Linked DNA regions of Rattus norvegicus. The protein of the gene in region 1 interacts with the protein of each later gene in a pairwise test. Links are inferred from orthologs where the notes say so. Each region holds a gene or a part of one and is shown on either strand. Other genes may lie near its edges.

Region 1 (3,643 bases):
CCCTCGTCATGCTCTTGGCATCTGTCTATCCATTTGGACATGCCTGATCTGTTTTGTCCTCAGAGGTAAACCTTGGGAGTGCAATGGCTGTGCAGACGTTGACTTAGGACACAGTTTCCCCCCTCAGGCCTGCGGCAGTAGCCTGCTTACTCTGTGCTCTCCTGGTATTCCCAGAGGCCCAGCCGCACTCCCTAGGCACTACCTTCTTTTCTTTTCTTTCTTTCTTTCTTTCTTTCTTTTTTTTTTTTTAAAGATTTGTTTATTTATTCACTATAGCTGTCTTCATGCACACCAGAAGAGGGCATCAGATCCCGTTACAGATGGTTGTAAGCCACCACGTGGTTGCTGGGAATTGAACTCAGGACCTCTGGAAGGGCAGTCAGTGCTTTTAGCCGCTGAGCCATCTCTCCAGCCCACTACCTTCTTTTCTTAGCTCTTCCTGCTTGATAGACTCATACCCAGGTCTGGCACCAGCCTACCAGTCGCCCCAACCCTCTTCCCCATCCTAACCTATAGGAGAGATTTATTTCTATGCGCCCCACCCCCACCCCACCTTATGATTAAGGAAAACGAGTTCATTTAGTGGCTACTTGGAGTTTTGGGGTGGGGTCTTGCTTTGTGGTCCAGGCTAGATTAGAACTCGGGCCCCTGAGTGCTGGTATTGTGTAGTCATGGGCCCTCGCACAGGCTACAGTGAGTATTCAGTGTGCACTGTATAAACAACACAATTCTTGTGTGCTTCCGCCCCAGACTCTAGACCCTGTTCCTTACTAAGTTCAGGATCTCCTCGTGGTAACACAAGGAGATTGCCCTTCCTTCCTGTGTCCTCAGACAGTGGGTAGAGGGTCCTGTAGGGTCCCTGGAGCCAGAGCTGAGGACATAGAGCTTCCCGTGTGTTCATTCACCAGAAGCAGGGCCCACAGCTTCTGGGCAAGATTAGAAGCTTGCATCGTTAAGAACTTTGTTTCCCTTCTTTTTGACGCAGTAATGACAGGCTCAATGTAGGGCACAGCAGGAGCACACCAGACAAAGGAGGCTTGCCACTTAAGTGTCTTTGAACCAGAAACTACCAGGAATGCCCTGCGAGCCAATATTGTGGGTTCTAAAGCCTGCCACGGGGCAAACACTAGTCGTGGAACAGTGGCCCTCCGGGAGGGGACCGAGCTCCTTTTGGCGGAAGGGTGGTGCTTGTTTGATTGCTTCTGGCATAGACTGCACCTGCTTTGTCAGTGGTCACGTGAGACTGAGGAAGGGTCTTTATTCATGCGGCCAGGGTGCCTGCCTTGCCTGGTGTTGACCCAAGAGATTATGTTCAGCCAGTGCCAGGACTCTGATGAATGCCAGTCCAGCCTGGACGCTTCTAATTATACACGTGTGTTTTTATAGAGCAAGCCATGTCACATGCTGTGACTATTGTGGGAATGGCTGAGTCCAGGGACCAATCGCATCCATTCCAAGTTTCTGCCCTTTGGCTGCGGCATTCTAGGTCTGGAGATAAATCTGGAGCTTCCACCTCACCTCCGTTGAAAGACTAAAACTGGGAGGGACCGTGGAAGAAGAGAAAGGTTAGAACGTTAAGGTGTAGGGCAGAGATATGTTCAAGAAAAGGTCCAAGAACCAGGCAGGCAGGAGATTGCTTTGCAACCCAGGCCAGCCTGGGTTGCACAGCAGTAACCAATCAAAAGTGAGAGACAGAAGGGATGGGGAGACAGTTCTGTCAGTGAGGGAGGCCCTGGCTCTGCAGGCATGAGTGCCTGAGTTTGGGTCCCTAGCACCCGTGTACAACACTGGGTATAGCCACATGTCCATAATCCCAGTGTGAGGAAGGCAGAGACAGGCAGGCCCCTGGAGCTCCCTGACTAGGCAGCCCAGCCCAGTAGCTGTGCTCCAGATTCAGGAAGAGACCCAGCTCAAACGAAATGGAAGCGCCAGGCTCATAGCATAGGCCTTTAATCTTAGAACTTCAGGGGCAGAGGCAAGTAGATCTCCTGAGTTCAAGGCTAACCTGGTCTACACCCGTGCTGTGAAGGGGGAGGCTGGCCTGAGAGACAGTGGAAGGCGGAGGGCAGCTATCCCTGCCAACCTACTTACGTACGCCTTGTACATCTCATTACCAAGAGTCCCCCTCCTCCTTCCCTCCCTTCCTCCCTCCAGCTGTCCATGGGGGCTAAAAGTGCATGTGTGCATGTGAGGGTGGGTGCCTGCAGATGCCAAAAGAGGACATTAGCTGTCCTTGCATCTGGAGTTACAGATGGTTTGTAAGCTATCTGTTGTGGGTGCTGGGAATTGAATTCTAGTTATCTATAAGAACAAGCCATGCTTGTAACCCCTGAACCATCTCTCCAGCCCTGGTTTATTTTAACTTCCTAATCCTTCTACCTTTAAAGTAGTGGTATTGTGTTGGACACCTTGTCTGGCTCATTTGATGTGGGGGTAGGGGATGGGGGTGGAGCCAAGGGCTTCATGCACACTGTTTAAGCTGTTCAACCCCAGGGGGGTCTCGACCCACTAGTTGAGAACTGCTGTTCCAGCCTCTCTGGTATGTAGAGGCCTCTGTGGGCCAGCCCTGGGTAGCAGTGGGCATGCAGGTGGGATGTTTCACAGGAGTGGCAGTGCGGTCTGATCTCCGGCTCTGGGCTTACCTGTGTGCTCGGATCCCTCACCGTCTTCATGAGGCCCTTGCTCAGGACGGCTCACTTCATCCTCTCTGAACTTTCCTAGTTCCCTGACATTGTGGATTTCTGTGAAACGATGGCCAATACAGGCAAGACAGTGATTGTGGCGGCGCTGGACGGAACCTTCCAGAGGAAGGTAAAGATGTCTGACCCATGGCAGCGGTCTTGAGAGGGGAGACAGCATGCAAGGTCTCCCCATGCAGCTCTCTAGTGAAGCAGGACCAGTAAAGTATGATGTTGCTGAATCATGGGGTTTAAAAGAGAAGCGTTGGGCTGGGGGCAGCCCAGGCTGTAACACACTTGCCTTGCACACAGGCTTGCGTCAGTTCCGCAGAACTCCCTCCACACGCATACACGTGAACACAGGCAGGGAGGGAAGTGCCTGGCTAACACTTTTGCTGTCCTGTGTAGGCTTTCGGCAGCATCTTGAACCTGGTGCCCTTGGCCGAGAGTGTGGTGAAGCTCACCGCTGTGTGCATGGAGTGCTTTCGAGAAGCTTCCTACACCAAGAGGCTGGGCCTGGAGAAAGAGGTATCTCCTTGTGCTTCTGCCCACGGAGTGGGGTGGGCTTAGGCTTCTGAGTCCTCCCTCATACGCCTCTCCTACCAGGTGGAGGTGATTGGCGGAGCGGACAAGTACCACTCTGTTTGCCGCCTGTGCTACTTTAAGAAGTCTTCAGCCCAGACTGCAGACAACAAAGAGAACTACTCAGTGCTGGGGCAGCCTATAGAGATCCCGGCTGTCAGGAAGCTCTTTGCCCCTCAGCAAATCCTACAGTGTAACTCTGCCAACTGAGGGGACCCGGGGCCTGCCAGCTCCTTCCCCAGGTTGGACTCCCAGAGAGCAGGGAAAGGGGCGGGGCCTGCCATTCCTACTGGACATTGCACCTTGGCTTATCTGCTTGTTGAAACCTTTCTTAGTTCCCTTCTTATAATGGTTGTGAGCCCCCAACCCAACGCTTCTCTCTT
Region 2 (4,093 bases), on another chromosome or scaffold:
TTGCTGATGAGCAGGGTCCCCATGCCTGAGCCAGTGCCTCCCCCCAGTGAGTGGGTCAGCTGGAAGCCCTGGAGACAGTCACAGCTTTCTGACTCCTTCCTCACCACATCCAGGACAGAGTCCACCAGCTCGGCACCCTCTGTGTAGTGGCCCTTTGCCCAGTTATTTCCTGCACCACTCTGACCTGAAAAAGAGAATATTAGTCACTTAGGAATCCAGGGTGGTGTCCTTGGACTATAAAAGAAAGTGGAAAACATGGGGAGGAAGAGGACACATCTTTTTTTTTTTTTTTTTCTTTCGGAGCTGGGGACCGAACCCAGGGCCTTGTGCTCGCTAGGCAAGCCCTCTACCACTAAGCTAAATCCCCAATCCTAAATAACTTTTTTTTTCTTTTCTTTTTTTTTTCGGAGCTGGGGACTGAACCCAGGGCCTTGCGCTTCCTAGGCAAGCGCTCTACCACTGAGCTAAATCCCCAACCCCAAGAGGACACATCTTAACAATTTTCAGTAACTTCTAAAGTTATGCACAGAGCGCATTCTGTAAATACCCTTAATTAGCTATAATTAAAGAGGCGGGGAAGACAGCTCTAAACATTTGGGCTACATCTTGGTCACTGAAGTGGTTACCTGGCATCAGTGATCCTTTGAAATCTCCTACAGCCTATGATGCCCTTGGAAGGCTTTTATCGTTTCCAATGCCCCACCCCCAGAGGCTGCTCCTCCTAGGGCCTTTCACAGCCTCCACAGACCCACACACCCCTCTGAGCTGTCAAGAGTGACCACAGACATGATCTTGTCAGCTGCATAGGTTAGGCCAGGACTTGCGGTCCCTGGGACACAGGCTCAGCTGGATGCTGCACACAGAACTGTAAAGCCCACGGCTGCTAGGAAGGGAATGAGTCAGCTGGGCAGCTCTCCTAGAGCATGACGACATACCGAACACAAAGTTGTCTGGCCTGAAGATCTGGCCGAATGGTCCCGACCTCACTGAGTCCATGGTGCCTGGCTCCAGGTCCACTAGGATGGCCCGAGGTACATATTTGTTGCCTGTGGGGACAAGAGCTGACTTACAACTGGGCTTGGGAAAGGAGATGGATGGAGCAGAAGAAGTCATTGCAGAAATCCCAGCATTGAGACAAAGGAGGAAAAAGAAAATGGAGACACAAAGCATACAGAGGTCCTCAGGAACAGCAACGTGGTTTTTTTTTTAAATGAGTGTGCAAAAAAGCATTTCCTTGTCTGCATGCTGCTTCCTCTGCCACAGTGTGGAAAGCAAGACTGACATCCAAACCCTTACCAGCAGCTTCATTGTAGTACACATTGATTCTCTCCAGCTGCAAGTCACTGTCGCCATGGTAACTGCCAGTGGGGTCGATGCCATGCTCATCGCTTATCACCTCCCAAAACTGAAACGAAGGCAATCGCATCACACTTAGACTGTCACCCAGAAAGGTCTTGGTCAGACAGCAGGCAAGAGCCTAGTGTGCTGCTGGCCTCCATGTATTTGGGCAGCAGCAGCTGCTGCAGAGGTCTTGGGAATGCGCAGTGCATCGCCATATTATGACCACAGATGCAGGGTGCAGGGGGAGCCTGGAGAAGGAAGTGGGCACAGCAGATCTCCCAGAACTGCAGAGGCAGCTGCTTTCTATCACTCCAGGCAAGGCTGAATGTTACACATACAGCCTGATGGATGGGAATGGCAGAAGGGAAGATCAGGTGCCCCACCCCCTGTGCCTCCAGGGATCAATGGCTGCTGGCACAGACTCCATGACAGCTTTCAACAGCCCGGTTTTATACCACTGACCTACATATTGGCTTCGGGTATTGACCCTGACTAGGAAATGTTCGGGGATGGGCAGTAAAATCCTGAGAGGGCATCTGGCAGCCCCGGAAAAAGCTGGCCTCCCTCAGGATGCAGCCTGCATTGTGACTTGGCAGCAGGAAAAGGGAGTGGGGAGGTTGGGTGGGCAATATGGCGGTGTTGAAAGAGACCACGTCCTTGTACAGGAACCTGCCCACACCCATGTTTAATGCTCATTGCTGTCTCCCCGCTGCCATCAGGTCTCTCAGCCCCCATTCCGAGTCTCACAGAGGAGAAAGACGACCATTGCGTTTTAAGTTACATCTAGGCGAGCCCTAGTAAGAGAATTTGTCTAACACCCTCGTCTGTTGGCCCAAAGACAAGCCTCTGTAACATCTGTCAACCCAATGACACTGCATTTTTTTGATTCAAATGATAGACAAAATATACGTATACAAATTACATTTGACATGAGATTTTTCAATACATGGAGTGACACCCCAACCCAAATTTCAGAGACGAAAACACCCAGAGTAATGTCATTTGCACCCTGCAGAAGGGCTGTGTCCCAAAGCAATGTAATGGACCTTAATTTAAGACACCCTGTCGCACCCATCGTGGCAGATTAGTCGGCTTTCAGGACCCGCTTTTAGGACCCGGTCCGCCCAGTAGCCAGCGAAGGAATGCGACACCAGCACCAGCACAGGCTCCTCTGGAACCCCTAGGTCCGGCTTGCCTCCACCCCCCACTCCCTACCCCTCACCCTCTACCCCTCACCCTCCACCCCTCACTCCCCACCCCACCCCCACACAACCTTGGGACCCCGACCCGAGGGGGCGACCTCATCCATTTCCTCCCTAGGGGTGCTCCCACCTTAGCGCCGATCTGGTTGCCGCATTGGCCCGCCTGGATGTGCACGATCTCGCGCATGGTGTTGGCTGTAGAAGAGGTGAAGGCTCTTGCCCTAGGAGCAGTGCGTGGACCGAGGGCTAAGGAGAGCAAAAGACCAGTCGCCTTCCCCCAGCTCCACCTTTTATACCCGGGGACCGCCCAGCCCCGCTGACGTCACGGGGGCAGAGCCGAGGGGCGGCGCTGCGGGGACTGCGGCACCGCGAGAGGGAGCCGGGGCGCGGTGCGAGGTGCAGGGCACCCGGCTGTATGCAGCGTCCCAGGGTTACTACGCCCCTCGGCCCGTCCTGCTGGCTTCCCCTCAACGTCCACCTGAGCTGTTTGTCTACTGTGGATACCTTTAGGTTACACTCTGGTTCCGCTCCCACCCTGCTCACTTCCCACCACGCCGGGGACTCGAGATTGGGCTCCTGCCTCCCCAGATAGCAGGACAGGTGTGGCCTCGCTCTTGGATATGGAGCCCAAAACTGAAAACGTATCTCTATTAGATGTCCTTTCTGAAAAGGAATGCCAGCATCCTGGGCAGGGGCTTGAACTGCAGCCCGGTTCTCTTTGAAGTCTGGGTGATAATCGAGGGCGAGTTGAAAGCCAGGCGCGGTGCGGCTTGGGAGGAGGAGGGGAGGGTTGAGAAAGGGTCTGGACTGTTTCGAGGACAAGGATGCGCTCTACAGGTAGATTGCAGGGTATGGGGAGGAAGAGTGTCCTTTGCTCTGGACTCTTGGATCCTAAAAGCCCCTTAAAAGTTGAAATTTCTGCTCTCGGCACAGGCACGTGTTGGAGCGAGAGAGCCAGGGAGGAAAGAGGAGATGTGAGAGAGAAACCATGGTTTTCATGGGCTGGGTAAGTTAGCCAAAGAACCCCACTGACAAAAGGTCACAGGGATCATGTTTTGGACAGTGTTTAAAATATATTTTTAATGACTCACTTTTTTCACTTTTAAAAATGTGATTACCAGGAAAACATAAAAACACTGTTGCAGCCCACATTCGGGGTTCACATACATCCTGTTGGCTAGTACTGTCCTACAGTAGGCATCATCACTACCCTGATTCCTCCCCTTGAAAAAGCAAGGTTTAAAATCTGATCAGCTACAAAGGGAGGAAGCCAAAGAACTTGCAATGTTTCTATTAGCAGAAACCCTGGGTGAGTCTCAAAGGCTTGGCACTAGGACTGGACCACCAGGAGTTACTCTTGGTTGGTCTGGCACAGTGGAGAGGTAAACAGGAGCTTCCTCCACCTTTTCCTCTTGGGAGCCAGTTTCTTCAAACATTACATAATTATAGGTGCCTTGGAGCTGGCTTTGTGAACAGGAAATGAGAAGGTGTATATGAAAGCCGGTTGAGTTTATGGAGTGAAAATGCCTCCATAAAGTCCAAGGCGATGC

Evidence for each region.
Region 2: the proteins of Tk1 (region 1) and Tubb2a interact in a two-hybrid assay, tested with the Homo sapiens proteins (2 studies listed by BioGRID and IntAct). The link is inferred for Rattus norvegicus from reciprocal best matches to the Homo sapiens genes TK1 and TUBB2A.

What each region holds. Positions count from the first base shown.
Region 1 is NC_086028.1:103,534,778-103,538,420, reverse strand, and holds part of Tk1 (thymidine kinase, cytosolic), read left to right. Parts: intron 1-2,721; coding exon 2,722-2,811; intron 2,812-3,086; coding exon 3,087-3,206; intron 3,207-3,284; coding exon 3,285-3,470; 3' UTR 3,471-3,643. UniProt on the Homo sapiens protein: Cell-cycle-regulated enzyme of importance in nucleotide metabolism. Catalyzes the first enzymatic step in the salvage pathway converting thymidine into thymidine monophosphate.
Region 2 is NC_086035.1:31,000,900-31,004,992, reverse strand, and holds the start of Tubb2a (tubulin beta-2A chain), read right to left. Parts: upstream 2,808-4,093; 5' UTR 2,731-2,807; coding exon 2,674-2,730; intron 1,406-2,673; coding exon 1,297-1,405; intron 1,047-1,296; coding exon 936-1,046; intron 185-935; coding exon 1-184. UniProt on the Homo sapiens protein: Tubulin is the major constituent of microtubules, a cylinder consisting of laterally associated linear protofilaments composed of alpha- and beta-tubulin heterodimers.